Linked DNA regions of Oryzias latipes. The protein of the gene in region 1 interacts with the protein of each later gene in a pairwise test. Links are inferred from orthologs where the notes say so. Each region holds a gene or a part of one and is shown on either strand. Other genes may lie near its edges.

Region 1 (7,985 bases):
CAGACTTTGCAAAGATGTTGGCACCCAAGTCTTTTCCCCCTGCACAAACACAACACCTCTGTCTATGTAAATAACAATGCGGCCAAATGTGTAGAGCTGTTTCCCCTCGTGCCGTTTGGCCACTATGGGCATGAAAACAATGTTGTTTTCCTCTGCTTTGGCCTGAATTAGATCCTTAAAGTTAGTTGGCACACCAGAACCGATGCCTCTTTGAGCAACACTTTCTGCATCCCGGCGCTCTTGCAAGGCTTCATACTGGAAGTCTTTCCGTCTCTCCGTCTGTGTGAGATAGGCAATGTTCTCTCTTGCACCAGGCTGCATATATCCACCTGTGAAAAGGAATAACGGACTCAACATAAGTGAAGCAAAGATCTCTCAAACTTTGCTTTTATAGTTTGAATTAAGGTAGATCTTTGGTTTTCATATTTATGAAGTAGACTGTGTGTACACAAACCCATTCCTGATGACACTGCACGGTTCATGATGTCCAAAGCCTCATTAAATTTCTCTTTAATGAGAGGTTGAGTCAACAGAATGTCACTAAACAAGCCTTTCCAGCCGAGATACCACTTTGTGATTTCCTCGTAGTTAGGACTATTGCTCAGCCATGAACACAAAACCTAAAAGCCAAAAATAAAAATAAAAAATACAGCAATTTCAGAGGATTTATTCAACCTATATATTTAAGAAATACGCTTTACGTATTTTACTATTTGTTATGACATTCACATACCTGTAACCATTTTGGGAAAAAGTTCTTGTCAAAAAGGGACACAAGACTGGAGGGAGACAACATTCCCTCCCAGTCCATCACCCAGTGAAACGGCTCCATCTGCTGCTGGTGCGGGTTGATGACCAGCTCTTCCAGACATAAAGCTTTGGCAGGAAAGAGAGATTTTCACATGTGAAATACATATATGTATAAATAAATCTGTGACAGGAAATGAAAAGGTATAGAAGTCAGTGATCCAGTCAGTTTTGCAACGCCTAAAGCTAGTGACTAAAGAAAACCAACCTAGTTTAGGGATGATGTTTTTCACCATGAAGGCCTCCCATGCACCTGCTGTAAAAACGTTCTTCCATGGCTGAAGAATGAGGCGCGCTGAGGCATCACTCGGATGCCAGCGCTGCAGAGCGTTGGCAAGTTTGCTCCTGATAGGTGGGTAGAGAGGCTCCAGGCGCGACTGGAGTAGAGGAAGCCAAGGGTGAATCCAGGAGTGGATGGGCACCGTGTCAGTTAAAGGATTCCAGTTATCTACCTAATAAACAAGAGAAAATGTAGGGAGATTTTGACAGGTGATACACACACTTCAGATGCAAGAAAAAGTAGAACAAAAAAAAAAAAAAAAAAGCATGTAGGATTGTTATAATTTGTGTGCCTTGCCTCGCGCTGCAGGCGGGGTAAGATCAGCTGTTCCAGTAGGTGATCCAGGATCCACTGAGGCAGAAGAGGAGCCCACAACGTCACACAGTCCACCATCGGTCCAACCATACGGGGCTGCCACCCGGACACACACATACGCATCACAGGGATCCACACTTCCCATAAAAGTCTAAGCAAAGAGAGACACATGCAGTTAAAAATCAAAATGTGAACATTTACATGTAAAAGTGAGTATTTTAAACAGACCTGTGGTAAGGATCCATGTTGGAGTCTGGGCCACTGGAACGAAGATCCCTGGATTCAAGGATTGCTCTCCACTGACCAATGTCTTCCAGACAGTATGCACTGTCCTACAACAAAAAACAGTCTTAACTCTAGTATCTTAATTGAGCAACATGTTGAAAATAAGGTGTTTGTTTTCCCCCCCACAGAAATAAAAGCGTAATAATTTAATTAGAATAATTAAAAAAAAAAAACCTTTAGAGGCTCCCATGAGTGAAGTTTCTCCTTAAGTAAAGGATGAACAACTGCCACAGCCAGGTCTGCCAATCCCATCATTTTATACTCTTCATAATAATCTGTTTGTAAAGTCTCAAAGATCTGGGCACACTCCTGGGCACAGAGAGGTGAGAAAATAAACAAATAAGTATGTTCAAAATGATTAAATGTTAGAAGAATGGAGATTAAAAACCATTAGGAACAAATAAACTGCAAGATAAGTACATCTAGTTTGGGTATTTTCATGTGCCACGTACCTGAAGAGTCGGTCCCTCCCCTGGTGGCGTCTCTCCAGAGGGAAAACGCTCCACCAGTGCCAAAACAGCCTCCATTTTCTGGATGGCATCTTGCTCTGCTTCTAGTCTGCTCTGCAACGCACGGGACTCATGACTCAGAGAAACGACCACGTCCTTTTCATGCTGTAGACGTCTGGCCGACTACAAAAGAATAAATAAAGAGAGCAGAAGAAAAAAATTAAATCTGGAAGCCCACTTGAAACGGGTTAATAGTTGAAAATGATTTGAAAGAATTTCAGATTTTCCTCTGACCTGTAAAATGTCCTGTTCTGTGAGGTCGATCAGCAGCTGAAGATTATGCTCAAGCTCAGGGAGAGCGAAGCCGGAACCCTTCTGATCCCGTGTGGACATGGCTGGTGGGGTTTCATCGGGAACACTGTGTTTGTTGGCTATCTGACTGTAACTGTAGTAAACCTTTGGCTCTCTTACAGTCATATCTATAACCTAAATTTGAAGAGAGATAAAAACAATTAATAAAAAGAAAACTTGAATCATTTTACTTCCATGGCCATAAAAATCTTTCAATTTATTTCAGTTTTATGCTGAAAGGAGGAAATGTAAAAAAAAAAAAAAAAACAAGTAGATGCTTGTGAAGCTCTTTAAAATATTAAAGTTTGTGGTTTTTTTCATTGTTCTGACCCGAAATTAAAAGGACATAACGCAGGATTTTAACGCACCTTAACCTGCGCCAACTCTCCTGCAGATGCTGCCATGTTCCGAGAAACCATTTTGCCTTTAGCCCTCAGCTCATCTGCAGTTCTGTATGAGTATTTTGGTTTCTTCTTGACTGCGGAGCCCGCAGGATCCTTTCGCCACTGACCCAATTCTTTTTGAAACTCCTACAACAACACACATTACAGGAGAAAAACAAGAAGATAATTTCACAGTTAGCCCTCAATTCTTCAGATACACAATCACTGTGAAAACAAGATTATATGGAGTAAAGAACTGCTCGTGGCAAAATCTCACCTTTTCCTCCTCTTCTTCAGAGTCAACCACAGGGAAGTCCTGCAGACTCTGCTGGGTTCTCTCATTGCCATATGCACCTACAGCTCCTTTACCTTTACGGACCTTTGCCTCAATAGGGTTTACAATACCTACATAAACAAAACAGAGGCATGGCAATAAAATCTCTATTATTTTCCCTCTGAAATGCATGCAAAAGCACAATCGTGTACAGTACTTTTCCTCCTTTACGCTGCCTACCTTGAGCATTTTTTCCAAGCCCCTTTCCAGGCTGGTAACCCATTTTCTGCAGAAGCTTCTGTCCAATTCCTTTTGTGTGCTTCTCCCAGGTTCCAATACCCTGTCCAGATTGTATTCCACCAGCAAACCTCTGGGACTGATTCCCACGAAAATTACTCTGACAAAACAAAGAAATTATAGACGTCAGTTTAAAAAGAAAGCTTTTTTAGATAAAATATGTTCTTAAGCGAAACTTTACCATCTGAAGTTTTCTAGGTGCAATTCCACGAGTAGGAGGGGGAACTGCAGGGGCATCCTCTTCCGAATCATCAGAACCTTCTTCTTTGTCTTGCTGTTTCTCCTCGGCTGCAGTTTTACGTAGACCGGCACTAACAAAATTCACTGGGGTGCTGTAATCTTTCGACCTAAAGAAAATGTACACTGTTAACATCCTCTGCAAAAATTTTCACATTTAGACATCAGAGCATCAAACCTGTGAATTACCTCTTGCCACCAAAGCTGGGTCTCTCATCTTCATCTGAATCTTTGTCAGCCCAGATCCCATAAGTGGCCTGCTCCTTGGTCTGCCTAAACCTGCGGCGTTCTGGGTTAAACTCATTGGCCAGATCCCAGTCTGTCACCTCGAAGCTTTCGATCTCCACACCTTCTTCCTCTTCTTCCCTCCGCCCGTAAAGATGGGACATCGACATTTCTAGATAGAGACCCAATACAAAAAAAAATCATAAAAGCCATACAATTGAAAAACATTCAAGTTGCTTAAAAAATCGTACAACAGCATGAAACCACAGTCAGCAATGATTGCTAACGCTAGCTAAGCACGAAGCTAGCCACAAAACTGTTTCGGTCACAAACAATTATCAACATAAATATCAACTGTATTGCACATTTGTATGATTGAAAGCGTAAAAATACATTAAGAAGTTTCAAGCAAAAAGGTATTAACTAACAGAACTCAGATATTAATAATGCAAATGATGAGATTTTTTAGCGAAATCTAGCTAACGATAGTTGGGACATTAAATCCCATTACGACTGCAGAAACATTTCGAACTTGGAAAGTAGAAAGGCACTTAATACAAACAAAGCTTACTTGACAAGAAATAGTTTATACACTTAGAGATTAATTAAAACTCATTCTTGGCTGTCTGTAGCAAGAAGAGGTTATCTGTGTAGCTTTTCGTTCAACGCACGAACGTGGAAATACTTCCGGGTAAAGTCTGTCCGTCAGTACTGACGAATAAATGTTGTGACCTTAAAACTTTGAGATTTTACTTATTTTTATTTGTTTGCATTTACTAAAGATTTGTGTTGGTTTTTATATAAATTTCTCTAAGTTAAAACAGCAACACCACACATTTAGGTTAATAAATTATGTGATAAAAGCTTTTATTTTGGCGTTACACCGGAAGACAAATGTGTTACACTTAAAACCGTCCTACGCGCTGCTGATTTTGTGGCGGAGGTGATTAGGGTGTTTGTTTTTTAATTATTATCACTGTTTTTTTTTCACCCCTAACATTTTATTATAGATCGTTGAATGATGGGAATGAGATAAAAAAAATGTCTGAAAGTGAGTGGCAGGTCGCTCGGCGTCGAAAAGGGCAAACAAGGAAGTTTAAATCTCATGTGCCTTTAAGTTCCACCAGCGTCCAAGAAGACCAGCTTGATGTCGAGAAAGTTGTCAGACGGATCAGGACCACTGTGTAAGAAATAAAATAAAAAAAACGGAAAACCACTCATAAACATAGTTCATTGTGCCTTATCGAGGGGAAAACTAATTCTGATATCTCATTCTTTACTCTCTGTCTCATAGGACTGAGTTGAGATGCGAAGAGTTTTGGCACAAATGGAAAGGTAAGTAAAACATAACCAAATTTTTTAGACATGTTTTTTTTATTTAGTGTGTAATTGAATTGTAACTCTTATGTTCCTCGTCCTCAGATGAGCTGCTGATGGCATCCACAGCATCAGCATCTGCAGAGAAGGACGTCACTGAGGAGCATCTGAAGAACACAGGTGATCAGCTGGAGTGTGTGTGTTATGGCCTTGGCTCCTTTTCTTCTTGCACTGCAGCCCGGTATCAGCTTGCCATGCTGCTTCTGCTGCTGGAAGTATTACAGGTCAGAAGAGAGCATTAGACTATGTTCTAACAAACATGTGTTATGTTTGTTTTGAGTTGCTCATTTAGTTTTTTTTCTCCTAAAGGTTTCCTTAAGGGATTGCTTGGTTTATGATCCCATATTCTCCTCTGGAGAGCAGGATGTCTTGAGGGAGCTGGGAATGACTGTACTCACAGAAAACGAGGTCATGTCAATTGTTTTTCTTTTTGCACTTCTAGAGAACAAACTGCTGATGTTATCACCGTAACTGAGATCTAAACAGACTAAAGTATCCGCTGTTTTATTTAGGAGGGGAAGCGTCTGGTGACCAAGCCCACTCTTTTTTATCTCATGCACTGTGGGAAGGCTCTGTACAACAACCTACTGTGGAAAAACTGGAGCTTACGGGGATTATACCAGCTTGTAATCATTGGAAACAGCTTCAATGGTATGAGGGAAAGGTTCGTAGAAAACACTGATGATGGAGCGCATCGTTTTTAGCAAACAGAGATGAAATAATGTCCTCTGTCTGTTGCAGAACGGTGGAAAGAGTGTTCAAACAGGAATACAGCTACATCAGTAAAGCTGTGGACCTCTGTGAGGAAAAAATGCTGCCTTGTCCTTCTCACATGATAGATGTCTTCAGTGATACGGCAGTCATTGCTTTTCCTCCCCACATCTTACACAAAGTGCCACAGACTAACTGGGCTGAGTCACCTGAACCTGAATACAGAGACCGCCAGGATTTGGAGATAATCCTGAAGGAAACTCAGAGCTGACTGGACTTCATTGAAATAAAATTTTGATATAAATTTTCAAACATGTAGGAAACTATTATGTTCAGATTTTTCACAAAACGAAAGTGGAACATTACAAATCAAGCCAATTAGTTAAAGATGGTTTTCTTCATGTATATGGCGTTATAGTACTTTCCATTTTTTTAGAACTTTATCCCCTTTCGCAACACTTCTAGCAACTTTTAAATTCATTTATTTAATGAAGCATCTCAAGTACAAAGCTTGGTTCCAAAAACACATTTTTATTCAAATAGTTTTGAAAATGGAAGTGTACTTCAAACTTAGGGAAAATGAAAAATGTAACCTCAAATACCAGCTTTGTTGCACAAGACTTGCATTATTAGCACCCCATACACTATCAACATATGTCTGTAAGTAATTTAATTAGAACCGATTAAAAACTCACCAAGAATTTATTTTGAACAAATTATTAAAACTTGGGAATACTTTTTCACAGCACAACACTCGACAGGATCAAGAAAGTTGAGACATCAAATCACAAAGAAGGTTTGAACAAATGCAACAACAAAAGAACAACGTTGTTTTCAGACAAAAGATTTAAAGAAAAAACAAGAATTTCAGTTTTTCTGTATGGAGCACAAGCATTGTTGAATAAAAAAAATGTTTTAAAAAATTGCTGGGCTAGTGTTAAAGTCAGAATGTATCCAAAAACATCAGCCGTTTAGTCACATTACAGCTGATCACCTCCTGTAATAACTATGGTGCATTTACAGACAGAAAGTTTTTTATGAATAAAGTAACACTCGTCCTGCTTTAAATCACATTACAGCTTAAATCTTCGGTTCGCCTTACAGCAGTGACTTTTAAACTCTCCCAAACCCAGTATTCTTTATGCCTTCACTCTTTAGCCGCTCCACTGACAGCGACACTGTCTGCTCCGTTTACCGTTTTACTTCCTGTTCCATTGACTGCTTTTGAACCAACGATATCTGCCCATGTCAGTTTACTCTTAAGGCTGGATGGGCTGACAGGGCTGTCCACAGCTCCATTCATTGCACCATGTTCCTCATCATTTTTCTCTTTCTTGGCATCAACAGCTACAGCCTCTGTGCTACTTTCTCCCTCATCTTTGCTCTGCTCAGCGGCCTTTTCCTCACAGCTATGAGCTGATACGGTAGCTGCAGTCTTAGATTGGTCTTCCGCAGGCTGCTGCTCCTGGATTTCTCCCCCGTTTTCCTCGGCTTTGTGTCTCCCATCCTGAACCTCCTTCCAGTTTCCTGTTTCCCTATTTGAAATTCCTTCTCTTGCGTTAATGAGGTCTGTAATGGCAGAGCCGGTAATCAGTTTGATTCCCAGTTCTTTGGCTGCTGCTACCTTCCGTTCCAGGTGCTTCTGCTTGAATTCATTGAACCTGTCACTGGAAAAACAAAAAGTAATTTGTCATATTTATGCAAGATAGAACAACTGTGGGAAAAAAAAATCATAGATATGATTAAGGTAATGTGTTTTTGTAAACATACTCGCACATTAAAAGTTCTCAGGTTGTCATCTATATAACTATGGAACAAATGCCTATAACATTTGACTAAAATATTTTATTAATAAAAAGGAAATTGAAATCATAACTATTTACTAAATGCCATCAAGACTTTTTTCAATTATTCTTACACGCTCACTTCCGATGAAAATTGTGTTTTTAACATGTTTTTTTGGCATCATTCTTTTTTATGTGGCATTTTTCTGA
Region 2 (7,906 bases), on another chromosome or scaffold:
AAACAAGCAACGGCTTCATTCAGAGGCAGCAAACGTGGACTTGGCGTGGTTTGGAAAGGCTCCATCAAAACTCAATTTCAGAAACTAATTAACTGGAGACTGTTGTCACTAACCTGCCAATTCTCGCCTGTCGACAGGACAAACCTGCTGAAAAACGTGCATGTAGACCCGGAGAACAATAGCCGATCAGCCTTCAAAGAGGCGTGGAAACAAACTTTTTGTTTTTTGCAGAGCCGCCTTTACTGGAAGGAACCTCAGCAGAGCAGCAGAAGCAGAGGTCAGGTGAGGTCAGGTCAGTAGAATTAAAGCCCGCCTTTAAATGGAAAACTAACAACATTCCTGGAAGACGTCTTCATCCCGACGCGTCTTCCTCAAAGACGATCCGTCTTTGATTAAATTGCAGAGAAGAAAGGCAACAAAAACAACCCATTCCCAGCTGTCGGTTGTCTATATGGGCCATGACTATTGAATTTCATTTCGGCTGAAAGATAGCATGACTGGCTGCTGGGCTGTCTGCTAAATGCAGACCTCATTCAGCCAGACCTTTGAGTAGGGTAAAATTACCCCCACAACAATGATTTCTGCAACACAGTCCATTAAAAATGCCTCTCTACATCAGCAGCCAAAGCATCTTAAAAGCACTAGGCCATATTGATACTGGAGCGGGGCTTTGCATAATGGCAGGCTGCATTAGAGGCACGGGTGGACGGGGCGGGGGGGGGGGGGGGAATTGCAGGATGAGGGAGGGCTGGTGGATCTTTCTGTGTGCATGTGTTTTTAGAGGGGGGGGGGCTGTATAGCCAAACTACTCTTGGTTAATTCAGAGTAACAGATCCGGCCCCAAGTGAATCGAAGGCCACAAATTAATTCGGTTATGACAAATCAAGATAAACGCTTCCTCTGAATTGCACGAGATTTAATTAATTTTCTGAGATCCCACCCCCCCCCCCTCCTTTTTTTGAAGGGGGGGGGACTAATACTTCACATTCTCTTGTGCTGTCATCCTGCTTGAGTGGGCAGACTTCAAAGTGATATTAAATAACCAACTATTAGATTTACCTCACACGTTCTATTGGAAAAGTGCCATTTAATTACCTAGACTTATTCAATTAAGGGGACAGCATTCCCTCTGAATCCAGCAGCCCCCAGGAAAAGAATCCCCCCTGCAGCAGCAGCAGCAGCAGCAGCAGCAGCAGCAGCAGCAGCAGCAGCAGCAGCAGCAGCAGCTATAACATCACCTCCAGCTTCAAACAGCAAAATCATCCACTACCACTATTATTTAAACTGCAAATTTGAGCGGAAGATGAGAGTTCAATGGCTTAAAAAACAGACTGGCCCTTTAAGATGGGGGGGGAGAAAAACAGCCGCAAATGGCCTTCACAATAATCCCTCTTGTCTGTCTGTCTTTCTCTCCTGCACTCTCAAAAGCCAATTTGGTTAATTAAATGTTTTGTTTGCAGTGTGGCTCTCATTCATTTCGGACACGTCATTGGTAGCAGAAACAAGCCAGGGACCAGATCTCATTAGATAAAACCCATCAGGACTGAAGGAAATGGAGGGGGGACTATAATTAAAGCATTTAATTGTGTAGAGTCTCTCTCAGATGTTTTCTCTGCCTCCCTCTCCCAGCCATACTTCAGCGTTTTTATCTCTGCACAGATCTCCTGCCTCCATAATCTGCGCTTTAGCTCTTTCACCAAGCATGCTCTCAATACAAGTGGAAAGGTGTATCCACACTTCCTCCCGCTCCAATTTTAATTACGTTATAGTACCATTATGAATGAAGTACCCCATTGACTTCCCACTGCTTTATATGAGGTGGGAGTAAGAGCGCACGGGCGCACTTTAGATCTGGAATCATCTGTGCAGATCTGCTGGCTGCACATCCAAAAACAACTCAAATGGGCGAGATTTTGTACCTTTAAGCAGAAACATTCCCATTCAGCTGAACTGAATGACAGGAGAGGCCAAAGCAGCTGATGAACACTCTTCCTGCTCCCAATAGGGTTCTTTTTTTAAACTTCAACAAGAGAAATACATCTCTTTTCCTGATTGAATTTACATAAAGTCCTGCACGCCATGAGGAAGACTTGTAATATTAGTGTCTGGGATACATAAGCAAAGGGCATTTTTTTTCTTCATTTCGGTGCAACTTTTTTATTTCAATAAAAGTCAACATAACTTCATTTATAATCCAAATGACCCTCGTCTACAAAGGAGGCAGACAGTTGACATAAAAGGGCTGCATCTGATTGGTCAAAGGGCTCCATTTAATTTGTTAAGCGGCCATAAGATTGTTTATGTGTGAACATTTAAAAAGTAACCATTTATCCCTAATTTAGGCTGCCTGTTGCCATATGCGTATAGGTTGATATTGCGATGAGGATACATTTGTGATGCAGGCCTATCTAAATGTCTCACCTACAGAGTGCGTTTGTGTCCTTGGACAGCCCCACAGAAACGGCCCTAACCCCCCCTTCTCACCTGATGTAATCGTTTCTGCAGAGGATCATGCCGCTTTTCGTGTAGCACGACGTGCCGATTTCGCCCAGCTGGGCCTGGCAGCAGGAGCACTTCAGGCAGCGGCTGTGCCAGTAGGTGTCCATGGTGTAGAGGAGGAAGCGGTCTGCGATTTTGCCCCCGCAGCCCGCACACCGCTTCCAGGACAGGGAACCGGCGCCCACCGCCGGCGGCTGGCTGCTGCCTCCAGGATTCACCATGGTCTCTGAAAAAACAAAACAAAAACAAACATCACGTGTTGATACCAGGTATGCAACATCATCCTAGCAGATAATGGCAGAGTTTTACACCACCTTTGTGGAGATTGTTAACTTTGCAGCTGCAGACTCTGTGACCCCCCAGCAAAGAGAAGGAGCTGATCTCATTACACGAACAAGCCATGTTCTGCTATGAGTCATTTAGTGAATTAATCTGCCCTTGATCTCTGCCTGTGTGGCCCCTGCGCGGGGGCATCGCTGCTGATGAATGTCTGTTAACTGATAACACTGTGGGGCCAAAGGAACAATTCTGCTGCCTCTAAAGTGAAAGCAGTGCCTCTGACTGACTGACTGAGCAGCACAGCCGCTCCTGCTTGTTTACCAACACCTGATGCCCCGCGGGCTTCCACCGACCTGCCCGCCATAACTTCACCGCCAAACGGCCGTTCCCTTCCAGACGTTAATACGTGCTCGGACCCCCCACCCCCATCCACCCTCCTCCACCACCATCACCACCACTCCGGGGCAGCAGCGACGCCGGGATATAAAGCCAAATCTTTGTTGAAAGGCAGGTAGGCCAATTAGGGAAGGAGAAGGCGCGGGGAGGGGGCGCGCGCGCGCACAGACAGAGCAGCATTCAGTAAGCCCATTAGCGATGGCTCTTAGGGACGAACCGCGGCGAACCTCCGCGCTGATTACATCTAAAAGCAGATGAAAAAAAAAAAAAAAACACAACAAAACAAAAAGCCGACCTGAAAGTGACTCCACGCACGAACCGGGCGAGCCATCGTCAAGTTTCCAACAGGCGGGGCAGGAGGAGGAGGAGGGGAGGCTTTTTAGATTAAATGGGTAAGTAATTACACGGTCAGGCAATTTGGGCACAGAGACTAAGACATGGAAATGGAAGGGAGAAAAGGCGAGTGCTAAAGGTCCTGAAAGCTGCTTTTCAACCGGAAAATGTAAAGATTATTGCGGGATAATTACACGGCCATGGGTTCAGTGAAAAAACAAGAGTCTCGGGTATCAAATATCACAGCTATCTTCAAAAGAAAACACGCTTTCAGAGGCAAAGTCTAGACTTTGACACACATATACTCACTTCGTTGGAGTTTAATGGCTGAAGTTCGGGTCTGAAGATTGCGTAGGAGAACGGGTAAGCTCCAGCAGTCCCCAAAAAGTCAAGGAAAAAATGTTTTATTTAAAAAAATAAATAAATAAAAAAGTGCGCCGTCGGTGTCCAGCCCCGCGCGGCAGCGAGCTCGCGACTCGTACAGCGGAGCAAATGGAGTTATCAGATAGTATTTCCAGCGGACGGTTCCTGCTTTTCTGAAAGCGATTTGTGGCCGATGACGGACCCAAAGCTGTCCATCGCAGGATGATTAGGTCTCCGAGACAGTAAAGTTCCCCAAAAGAGCAGAGAAGAGCGGCACAAACCGAGATTATGACGCGAATAACGGAGCACAGGAAATACGACGGTGGATCCGCGGGCAGCTTGTTCTACATGTGTCTCTGACAGGAAGAAACCTCCAGTAAAAAACCCTCTTTAGCCGCGTGACGACAAAGCCCTCTCAGCCAATCCGCTGGCAGCTCATTTAAGAACACCGAATCCAGCCAATCAGAGCAGAGAGAGACTTAGCAAGAGACGCACACAAACAATGTTGTTACACTGGCAAAGACAGGACCCCCCCCCCCCCCCCCAACACTTCTTAAAAACTGAATTTAATGTTTCAATACCCAAAATCTAAAATAGTCAAATTCAGAATCAATTTGAACGTCATTTCTTAATCTCGAAATCACTGCCTGGCTGTGATTAGAGCATCATGGGAAGTCTCTGATTATCTGCATCTCCCTGTAGCATCAGCTCCAAGCTGCATGGCAACATCCAGTAAACTGCATTCACCTCACGTCACAGTTTAATTAGATGACATTCAATAACTACTTAGTTTACTGAGAGTGACTCCAACCTCTGGGAACTGGCGGGACAACAGCTGCGCGGTGGCGCCATCGTCTGCCACCCACAGTAATTGCAGGGAGACTTTCTGCTTTGAAAACCCCATTAAAGTCCACAGGTCATTGATTTCAACACTGAATCTGATTTGTCTGAGGGTTTTCTTTACATGTATTTATCTTAACATTAATATCATGGCAAGCATGAGAGATTAATCATGAACTACATGCGAGAAATGTGTTGCATGTGTCACAAGTTGACATGAAAATATGGCTCTTTTTATTGTATTTTTATTTTAGTTTTTTACTTTAGAAACAAGAAAAATAAAATATAATGCAAAAGAGAAGTTATCTTCAAAGAGATTAACCAGGTTTAAGAGTTTTACATGACAAAAAAAAAGAAAAAAATCCATTTGGATATGATACCCCTGGCTTTGGATGTGTAAAGATGATCTTTTTCTTGACTTTAATTGTTTAATTATTCTCGCAGCTCTGAGGAGATTGCTTTGCATCACACTGATTTCCCTTTTGGCAAAGCCAGCGCTGATCCACCTTGGTTTGAGCCGCATTCTCTTGACACTCTCATCAAGCTTGCCTCTTACCAGAACAAAAACATCCACAGAAGATTGCAAAGAATATCTTTTCCACCAAGGAATGATTAATTGATATAAATGATTAAAACAGAGGGAAATTAGAAAATGAATTTGAAAAGAGGCCTCACAGGAAAAGCTTTGTTTGTTCCAGTCCTCTTTTTAATGAGCTTTTCATAACTGGGCAGGAGAAATTACTTCTTGCAAAAATAATTATTGGAAGTTGGAGTAAGTAGGAGGAGGTGGAGAGGTCAGTGAGAGGAAGAGGAGACGGGCGACGTGGGGGTTCCCTCAGAAATTGATCATCTCCACACTCCGCCGAGATTCCTGAAGTTTCCGAGCAGCTGCATTATGAAAAAAGAAGAAAAGAGGCGAACAACAATATGGCGCAACACAGTTTCAATGTTTAAACAGGAACAAGAGAGCGTCAGATGTGGATCTGAGTGTTAAAACTCCCCACAGGGTAATCTCAACTGACGTGAAAAGAAGACCACGGTCTTTCATAATCAAGCCGCTGGTCCTGTGGGAGTAAGCGGAGCCACACTCAGCTCATTCCCTGACTACAGATTTGCTCTGTTGACTTGACACTGAGCCTCAGAGGCTGTTTTGTCCACACTGCAGGCCACACTCAAGCCAACAACACCCAGGTTAGTTCAGCCATCTGCAGCACCAGAAAAATGGTTGATACCATATTACACAAATCACGTGAATTGATGATACCGTTCAGATTAACCGCAGCTGCTCCCAGATTGAACGGAGAATGGCCGACAGATCATCTCCTAAAGAGGCTGCTTTAAAACACACAAAGTCTCCTATCACTCCAAGCTTTGAGCTTGAATGTGTTTGTGTGGCCATGACCGGATCAAGATGGTTGGTGCATGGATTTTTTCTTTTCTTTTCCAAACAGCCTCCATGTCCTGTAATTGCTGTTCTGACCTTGAAAAATATTTAGAAAAGATGAAACATTTTGCATTGATTCTGGATTTTAAAAGAGGAATCAGGTGTGGATATCTTTCAGTCCACAATAAATCCATAAAATCAAACTTTTTTATTTATTTATTTTTTTGGCGCTCGGGTCAAAGTTATTAGCCTGCCCTTTAAATGAAAAGAAGTCCTCTGAAATTACCATTGCCAAATTGTAATTGTTTATTTAGACATCCCAAGGAAAAAGTCAAGTTAAGTTTAATTAATTTTGCTGAATGGAAAAAAACACAAAAATACCAAGGCTAAAATCATCATCACTCTGATAAGTGGTAGTCAGTATCTTTCACTGAATATCAGCTGACATCAAAGTTTGTGCTACAGCTCCTAAATTCCTTTTTTGTAGCTTTAATCATCTTTCGTTTTCAATGAAAAATTCTTCAGTCTTTAGTGATTTTTCTGACTTAACTTTCAGTTCCATATATAGAATATTTTTTTTTTTAGTCTGGACAAGATTACTACCGGATATCAGGGTTCATTTACAAATCTGTCAGCGTTTTCATAAGAAAACGTATGAAGACAAATCTGCCTTGATTCAATCAAATCCTTGTGAATCAGAAGCAGAGAAAAATTTCCGCTTCATACAGAGCTTATTTGTGATGCAGAAAATACGCTGGATGCTACAAGCTCCCTGCTCTGCTCCATTCTGATGTCTTCACTTGCAGACGAATAGATCCAGGCTTGTCTTTGTTTTCCTCGTCTGAGCTGGAATCTGGATCTAAACTTGTTGGAATTATGTATATAAGGCATCTCATATTTGCTTTTATGCATTACCTAGCTATATAGGTGATATTATCATGTTTGCAGAAGTGTGTGTGTCCAACTTTGTTTCACAGGAAGGTGGAGGTGAAACCCTTAGGGGAAACCGGCTATCTTTGCGTCCTCCCAGCATCTGCCAGAGAACTTGTGTGTTAGCTGTGTCAAGACCGGAATCAAGGGCCTCTCTGTGTCAGTTATCCGTGAGAAAAGGCTTCGCAGGTCCAAAGATGATGTGGGAAGACTGTGAAAGGATGGACATGTTGCAATTAATGTTTAGGATCTCTGTTCTCTCCCCTCGTTAAAACGGTACCTTTGGGCTGTTGGATTTCTTTCCTAATGATGTTGTTCTGATGTTGTAGGTTGTTTTAACCCAACAAAACTGTACGGCTGGGTATCTTCAGTATCGCTCACCATTTTTGTTAACCTGTAATGTTAGGTTGTGGCAGCTGTAAGCTTGCAGGAGAGCATGTAAACAGAGAACTCTCACCAACGGGGAGTGTAAGGGGGGCAGGCTTATACTCCGCGCCACTCGTGCCGCCCACAACTCAGAGGTGAATTTTTAATGAACTACTGCTGCTCTGCAGAAACGGTCAGAGAAAACGACACGAGTTTTGTCTCAATTTGGGCTATAAACGGCGTAATTATGATTAAAAGACCACGGGGAACACTTTTACAATGCGACTGGAGTGGGACTTTGAGATTAAACAGTGTCACCCATAGATAATAATTTACTGCTGCTCCAACTAAATAAAGTCAAGTTGGTCCCCCTTTTTTTATGATACACACTTTTTTCCATGTCGGAAACATAAAATGTTAGCTAGGAGTGATTGATCTGAGTTGATTTGAGTCAGCATTTCCATGGCAACCCCTCTCACCAATCAGGAGTGAGCTTGTCAGAAGGCCACATCCCTA
Region 3 (7,953 bases), on another chromosome or scaffold:
AATTTATCTATTTTCATTACTTAATACATTTTTTAACATTATATGAGGACTATTATTATTAGTTTTTTAATACCTTTTTTAATTTTCATTATATTCATGATATTTAAAGTTAATTTTACTTTTTGTATTTTAATTGCTATTATTGTTATATCTTATTTTTAGTATTGTTATTTTATTGTAATTTATATTCTGATGTTTCATAATCAGGTGTTTCCTCTTGGGGATCCATTTTAAGCCCATCGTAAATTTGGGCTGTACAAATAAAATTGAATTGAATTGGAGAACTACCGGCTCCGCCTCTAGGGGGTGCTGTTGCTGCGGTGCTCGTTTTCATAGGGTCGGCTGGGGTCTCGCTCTGTGGTCTAAATGCTGTGGCAATGACCCTCGTGGTCAGGTTGGGCCTTGCAACATATGGATTACTATTATGTCATTTCTGCACAGCAGAACCACACCAGACTTTTTCTTTAACCTGCAGTTTTTGTTCAGGGTTATATTGGGGGAACTGGGTGGATGGAGGGAGGAAACTGGTGAGGGAGGGGTCCCATCGGTGTGTGATTCTCCTAAGTTTTCTATTTTAATTCATTTTTATATTTTATGACTATTTTATTTGCTTTTATGTCAAGCGCTTTTGCTTTCAAATAAAATGACAGGCGTTATACAAATAAAGTTTGAATTTAAAGTTCCCAGATGTGTTCTCTCTCTGATCAAGTTTTAAGGCTTGCATTGTCACTGTGTAATTTCAAAAACTGTAGAATTTAAATGAGGTCAGTCTTCCCACACGTAACGGGCGCGGATCTGCCTGGTTGCAATTTAGTTCGGGTTGCGCATCCGTTTACCCAAAGTAATCTGCGTTGTGTTCTTGTTCTGCTGGACAAATGAAGAGAGTCTGGACCCAAACATCTGCTGAACGCTGCCCTTTTTATTGATGACTGCAGCAGGATCTGTACATATCAAACAAAAAATGAAGAAAAGTCGCTTACATGCAGTTCCCTGCTCAAACACATGGGGTCGCAGTATCCTGTTGAGCGGAAAACGAGAAACCTGTCCACACATGTCTTCTACCAAGTGTAACCCTTGTTACACTAACTTGAAATTAATTTATAAAGTATTGGAAAAATTGGCTCCAGATCCTCTGGCAGAGATGGATCACCAAAAAAAAAAAAAAAAACGATTCCAGGCCTCAGCAGCATGTCTGTGTTTCACCCACGAAAACAAACATCCAAATATTTGCAAAGATGGATGTGCAAATTGTGCATACAAAATAAACGCATTTAGCCGATCACCGCTAGCTCCACGGAGAGAGTGGAGTTTGTGCTAGTCTGGCTGGGGGAGGTGCTGGCAGCACAGACTCTTCCTGGAAGGGGCTGTTCCTCACTTTGTGACATCACAATGGGAGAACTCTCTTGTTTTTGTGGGTTTGGAGGGGCTGGTGCTCAGAGAGCAGGTTTTTAAAGGAACACCCAGAAACGGGTAAATGGATCCAAATATTCCTTTGGGGTTGTTCATTATGAATGATGAACGTTATAATACAATTATACCATCGTCCGGGTGAATACCCGATTCTGATTGGCTGCTGGGTGTGCGGTAAAAAGCGATGCAGTCGCCGCACCATGTAACAAATAGTCCGCTTTTTGTGATAAAAGCAATCCTCTTGCTTTATTTTGATAAGCGCTTCGCGTCGGATGGTTCAGGCTTCACGGCGTGTGTTAAAAAGTGCTAATGCACACTTCGTCGGCCATTAACCCTTAGTTAAAAGATCACAGAGTTGCTTTTGCATGATATAAGCCCTTTAAAAGTACACTTGGAAGTAGATTGTGCAGTCAGATTGAGAAGTCAAATTGTACTAATTCCACAGAGTGGTTGTGGAATCACTACGCACAGAGTGCACCTAGTGCGTTCACCATTTTGTAAAGCTGTTCAAATTTCAAAATCAAGTGGTTTAGAAATTATTTGCGAAAGATTAGTGTGTATTGATGCTCGCTACTAGATTGGCGTGTGTAGACCACAATGCAATTGAACAATTTTTGAGAGCAAAAATGTATTTTATTGTTTTGTATGAACACTCAATGATTTCATCATCAGAGCACAGTGGATTCATAAATAGTCTTCATGCATTGCTCATATTGATTAGATTTTAACTTTGGGAAATCAGTGATGTCATATTCGCAGTTTTAAAATAATGAAGTCAGCAAGGTGTCCTAATTGCTTTTAAAATCCGGGACATTGGATAGTCCCACACTTATAGTTTTATTAGTAGTTAGGGATTAGGGTGGGAATTCGGACATAGCCAGTGAATTGTCTGAACTCAATGAGTTATATCGCTAGAGGAGACACGCCCGCTTGGGAAGCCTGGCCGACGGTGGCGGAACGCAACGCCATCTTGGTGAGGTCAACGACGCCTACATGACAATGATTTCTTTAGCCTTTGGTAGCATCTAAGTAGCTTTTATATAATTTATATTTATTCAAATTTCTATATATTTATACATATAAATAAACACATGATAAATGTATATAATTTTTATATATATACATCATTTGATGCTTTTAAATAAGAGAAACAGTCAGCTTTAAAAGTTCAAACTTTAATGAAAAATGCATTGTTTTTAATTTTTAAACATTTCCAAGTTTTAGACCTCTTTGACATGTAATTGAAATTATTTAGAAAAGCCCAACAATAAGTCAATAATAATAATAAATAATAACAATATATAAATAATAAGTCAATAATAATAATAAATAACAAATATAAATAATAAGTCAATAATAATAATAATTAATAACAATATATAAATAAGTCAATAATAATAATAATAATAATAATAATAATAATAATAATAATAATAATAATAATAATAATAATAATGAATCAATAAATAATAATAATAATAAATCAATAGTAAGTCAATAATAATATTGAATGATAAAAATAAATCAATAATAGGTAAATAATAATAAATGATAATAATAAATCAATAATAAGTCAACAAAAAGTCCAAAAGTCAACAACAGATTTTCCCCTTTAAAAAAACAAAGAAAAGAAATAGATTTACCTCCTGATTCATGTTAGTGATAAATTTGTGTGACACAGTTGGTTTAGTGTCGGGTTTCAAGCTAACAGTCTGGCCAGTCTCATCAAAATCTGTTTCCTCAAATTGTTTTGAACATAGCCAGACTGTATTACTAGTTGGTACCACAGTGATCCATCTGGGTTAGCTCTTTTTATTGCTAAGGCCCACTTTTTCCTTAAGTCTGAATCCATTGGAAACCTGCAATAAAATTTCAGTCACTGAGTCAGAAATGTATAAATCTCTATTACTATAATAGCCTAGTATAATGTATACAGGTTTAACACAATAAAGTTTACATTTATATCGACAGCAAATTATACGTACATCATGCCTACATGTTGATAATCGCCCTGCAGCATCATGCATGAAAACATGTGTATGATTAATGATGCCCCTGCAGCATTAAAAGAAAAAAATATATAATACTTACCTGTGAAATGTTATGCCTTCCTCCTTCGTGGACTCATTTCTCTGATTTTGGCAGTTGAAACCCGAAAAATGAACTGGTATTTTGCAAGAAATGTGTTCACATGCATGCACTACAGCAGTAATTTGACCTCACCAAGATGGCGATGCTCTCCCCCCTTGAGGAATCACGTGATGTCTCCTCTACCGATAGAACTAAATTTAGACAGGAAACTAGCAATGACGAGCTGCAACATCCGGTGACGTATTTTCCGTAGGTAAACAAGATGGCGTCCGGCAGTGGGGTGAGTTTCCAAGCAGAATTTCTCTGCCCCTGTTTGTTGTAATACAGTTTAATTCAATAAACAAGATTAAAATTCTTCACTTTATATTTGGTACCGTGGAGGCGTTTTGACTGTAACCGTTACAGACATCAGCTGCTGCCGTTAGAAGCGCGGCCTCGGACTAGCAGCGGCTAACTCGCTCTGACGCTTGGGTACTTTATTTGCAGAATTTTACGGCCCTTTTTAAAAAAAAAAAAAATTAGTACCAAAAACGTTTTGACTCAACCGCCGTTAGTTTTTATCTTTAAAGGACTAATTCAAAGGTGTAACGAATTCCGGTGTGGCAAAATAAAAGCTCTTGAAGTTTATTTCGTAAAGCCGACTGTGATGATAATAAATGAAACTGTAATAATAAGGATAATGTCCTTTTTGGTTTTTGCAAATATGAAACAATGTTTCTGTTGCTATATTATAAAATTTATAAACCCACCCCTGTTGAAAATGTTTACTTTGATAATATGAATGAAAGGGAAGAGCTGTCGATCAATACAGACCATGAATTTCTGCTTTTTTTTTTTTTTTTTGGATGCTGGTGTGCCGCGGGATCTTTTTCAGGGTTAAAGTGTGCCGTGGCTCAAAAAAGGTTGAAAAACACTGGTCTAGAGTGACTTAGGGTTTCCTGTCCTGTAAGCACAGCTCCACCAGCAGGCGTATCCCCCTGGAGCCTGACGGCACCATGCATTTGGAGAGCTGATCAGTTTCAGGCTGCAGCTGCAGCCAGGATCAGGCTGTTGAACGGAGATTTCTGAAAAATCTAATGTTCATTATGAAGGATCTCTTTGGACTCATCTGTTTATCCAACATGGATGCTTCCCGTCAGCTGGATGTTCGGCCTGAGCCCTCCCCTTATCTCGGGTCACGGAGTAGGAACAGCCCTTTTCCCAAACACCATTAAATACGAGCAGCAGCATGGCTCACGCATAAATCATGGGTCACACGTTCCCCATGATTTGTGCGTTCATCCATACCTCTCTGAGCTTTTGGAATCTCGGTTAAGCTCATATCTTTCCCTGGAGGGACAGAGATCCAGGAGGAACCTCTGGGAAGAGCCAGCTCCTCCTGTTTGAGCTTGGAAGGTGCACAAGGCGTCAGCTCTGACAGTCCAACAGGCATCTTCACCGTCTGCATTTAAACATTCTTCTGACGAAGCATGAGGCTTTCCTGCTTTTGTTCCTTCTCTGTTGTTGTGTCTCTGTGGTTCTGTTTTAGAGTTTTATCAATGAAGTTGAGTTGAGAAGCTGTTGCTCTTTTGTCAGGAGGAGTAAAAGCTCCTCGTCTTCATCAGCTGAATGTTTGTTGAGATGTGAAGATAATCGAGGCGCTCTGAGTCATCTTCTCGTGTCTTCCAGTCCAGCAAGAACGACTTCCGGCGGAAATGGGACAAGGACGAGTACGAGAATCTCGCTCAGAAGCGGCTGAACGAGGAGCGCGAGCGGGAGCTCAGGGATGGTGAGGGCAGCGCTCTCCGTTCTTTGGGGACCCTTGGGGGTCAATCGCTTATCACCCCTGACGCATGACCTGTTGGCTCTTTCAGGAAAACCTGTCCCTCCCGTCAAGCGGGAGCTCCTGCGGCACAGAGACTACAAAGTGGATCTGGAGTCCAAACTGGGGAAAACTATTGTCATCACCAAGACCACCCCTCAGGCGGAGATGGGCGGGTGAGTTCCTGACGGCTTTGGGTTTGGAAAAATGGAAAACTGAAACTCTTTGAACCAATAAGAAAAAGTTGTGGAGCAGAAACGGACAGGTCTGGGTTCTGGTTCCGACATATTTTTTTTTTCAGATATTACTGCAATGTTTGTGACTGTGTGGTCAAAGACTCCATCAACTTTCTGGATCACATCAACGGCAAGAAACGTAAGTACACCTGTGCTTTAGGGAGGGGCCAAGAGCGCAGATGTAACGTGGATCATTTTATACAGTCAGGTCCATAAATAATGGGACAGCGACACAATTCCAACATGTTTGACTCTATATGCCACCAAAATGGATTTGAAATAAAACGAACAAGATGTGCTTTAACTGCAGACTGTCAGCTTTAATTTGTGGGTATTTCCATCCAGATCAGGTGAACTGTGTAGGAATTACAACAGTTTGCATCTGTGCCTCCCACTTGTTAAGGAACCAAAAGTAATGGTCAGAACAATAATCATAAATCAGACATTTACTTTTTAATACTTGGTTGCAAATCCTTTGCAGTCAATTCCAGCATGAAGTCTGGAACTCACAGACATCTCCAGACGCTGGGTTTCATCCCTGGTGATGCTCTGCCAGGCCTCCAATGCATCGGTCTTCAGTTCCTGCTTGTTGTTGGGGCATTTTACCTTCAGTTTTGTCTTCAGCAAGTGAAACATTGCATAACATTCCACTTCTTTCCCTTAAGAAGGCCTTTAGTTGCGGTTGCAGTTTGCTTTGGGTCATGGTCCATCTGCACTGTGAAGCGCCGTCCACTGAAGCATTTGGCTGATCATGAGCCCAAAAGCCTTCAGAATTCATCCTACTGCTTTTGTCAGCGTTCACATCATCAATAGATAGAAGAGAACAGTTCCATTAGCAGGCATACATGCCCACGCCATGACAATACCACCACCATGCTTCACTGATGAGGTGGTATGCTTAGGATCATGAGCAGTTCCTTTCCTTCTCCATACTCTGGTAGAGGTTGATCTTAGTCTCATCTGTCCATAGGACGTTTTTCCAGAGCTGTGAAGACTGTTTTAGATGTCGTTTGGCAAACTCTAATCTGGCCCTCCTGTTTTTGAGGCTCACTAATGGTTTACATCTTGTGGTAAACCCTCTGAACTCACTCTGGTGAAGTCTTCTCTTGATTGTCGACTTCTACACACATGCACACCTTACCTCCTGGAGAGTGTTCTTGATCTGGCCGACTGTTGTGAAGGGAGTTCTCTTCACCAGGAACACAATTCTTCGGTCATCCACCACACATGTTTTCTGTGGTCTTCCGGGCTGTTTGGCATGCTGAGCTCCCCAGTGCGTTCCTTCTTTTTAAGAATGTTCCAAACAGTCGTTGTGGCCACGCCTCATATTTTTACTATCTCTCTGATGGTTATTTTTGTTTTTTCAGCCTAATGACTGCTTCTTCACTGATAATAACAACTCTTTGGATCTCATCTTGAGAGTTGACGGCAACAGATTGCAAATGCATACAGCACACTTCAAAAGCTCTGGACCTTTTATCTGCTCTTTGTAGTTGGGATAGTGAGGGAATAACACACACCTGTCCCTGGAACAGCTGAGAAGCCGATTGGCCCATTGCTTTTGGTTCCTTAACAAGTGGGAGGCACAGATGCAAACTGTTGTAATTCCTACACAGTTCACCTGATCTGGATGGAAATACCCACAAATTAAAGCTGACAGTCTGCAGTTAAAGCACATCTTGTTAGTTTCATTTCAAATCCATTTTGGTGGCATATAGAGTCAAACATGTTGGAATTGTGTCGCTGTCCTGTTGTTTATGGACCTGACTGTATGTCCATGAATGTGTGTTGATAAATGTGTGTGTGTGTTCAGATCAGAGGAACCTGGGCATGTCCATGCGGGTGGAGCGCTCGTCTCTGGATCAGGTGAAGAAACGCTTTGAGGTGAACAGGAAGAAGATGGAGGAGAAGCAGAAGGAGTACGACTTTGAGGAGCGCATGAAGGAGCTGCGGGAAGAGGTGAGCGCCCCCTGCTGGTCAGCTCCCAGAGTCCTGTGAAATTTGGAAAAGGCTGCTCTGTTGATTCTTCTGCTTTTTCCAGCGCTCCTACTTTCATTCTTTTCTTTCAGTGTCTTCAGTGTTTTATAATCTGGTGAAGTCATGAATAAAAACTGGTTCCTGGTCTCCTCAGGAGGAGAAGGCGAAGGCCTACAGGAAAGAGAAGCAGAAAGAGAGGAAGCGGCGTGCTGAGGAGGACTTGGACCTGGAGGACGATGATGAGATGGCAGCAGTGATGGGCTTCTCGGGGTTTGGCTCGTCCAAGAAGAGCCACTGAAGCCCCAAACTGGGACAGGAAACCGTTTTCAGCCATGCCCCCCTCTCTAGGGCGGGGCTGCTGATGCGGGCTCCTCCCTCACAGACTTTTTTTATTTGAGATTGCTCTCAAACCTCTTCTGGTGAGCTGGTAAACACCAT

The links.
Region 2: the proteins of tfip11 (region 1) and lmo4 interact in binary tests that used the Homo sapiens proteins (3 or more experiments, as listed by UniProt). The two-hybrid records come from large-scale screens. The link is inferred for Oryzias latipes from reciprocal best matches to the Homo sapiens genes TFIP11 and LMO4.
Region 3: the proteins of tfip11 (region 1) and zmat2 interact in binary tests that used the Homo sapiens proteins (3 or more experiments, as listed by UniProt). The two-hybrid records come from large-scale screens. The link is inferred for Oryzias latipes from reciprocal best matches to the Homo sapiens genes TFIP11 and ZMAT2.

Annotation. Positions count from the first base shown.
Region 1 is NC_019867.2:13,546,645-13,554,629, reverse strand, and holds the start of tfip11 (tuftelin-interacting protein 11), read right to left. Parts: upstream 4,604-7,985; 5' UTR 4,475-4,603; intron 4,076-4,474; 5' UTR 4,074-4,075; coding exon 3,868-4,073; intron 3,789-3,867; coding exon 3,623-3,788; intron 3,542-3,622; coding exon 3,385-3,541; intron 3,276-3,384; coding exon 3,148-3,275; intron 3,018-3,147; coding exon 2,856-3,017; intron 2,623-2,855; coding exon 2,431-2,622; intron 2,320-2,430; coding exon 2,140-2,319; intron 1,997-2,139; coding exon 1,862-1,996; intron 1,735-1,861; coding exon 1,631-1,734; intron 1,554-1,630; coding exon 1,385-1,553; intron 1,260-1,384; coding exon 1,016-1,259; intron 877-1,015; coding exon 734-876; intron 621-733; coding exon 455-620; intron 330-454; coding exon 1-329. Other genes in the region: srrd (SRR1-like protein), read left to right, coding at 4,945-5,087, 5,198-5,238, 5,326-5,504, 5,590-5,688, 5,793-5,944, 6,022-6,262; clustered mitochondria protein homolog, read right to left, coding at 7,139-7,658. UniProt on the Homo sapiens protein: Involved in pre-mRNA splicing, specifically in spliceosome disassembly during late-stage splicing events. Intron turnover seems to proceed through reactions in two lariat-intron associated complexes termed Intron Large (IL) and Intron Small (IS).
Region 2 is NC_019862.2:4,583,313-4,591,218, reverse strand, and holds the start of lmo4 (LIM domain transcription factor LMO4), read right to left. Parts: upstream 4,262-7,906; 5' UTR 3,817-4,261; intron 2,849-3,816; 5' UTR 2,814-2,848; intron 2,726-2,813; 5' UTR 2,721-2,725; coding exon 2,485-2,720; intron 1-2,484. UniProt on the Homo sapiens protein: Transcription cofactor. Plays a role in establishing motor neuron identity, in concert with MNX1, acting, at least in part, to disrupt LDB1-LHX3 complexes thereby negatively modulating interneuron genes in motor neurons.
Region 3 is NC_019872.2:3,286,597-3,294,549, reverse strand, and holds the start of zmat2 (zinc finger matrin-type protein 2), read left to right. Parts: upstream 1-3,692; 5' UTR 3,693-3,763; coding exon 3,764-3,781; intron 3,782-5,169; coding exon 5,170-5,269; intron 5,270-5,354; coding exon 5,355-5,478; intron 5,479-5,603; coding exon 5,604-5,677; intron 5,678-7,351; coding exon 7,352-7,497; intron 7,498-7,669; coding exon 7,670-7,813; 3' UTR 7,814-7,953. UniProt on the Homo sapiens protein: Involved in pre-mRNA splicing as a component of the spliceosome.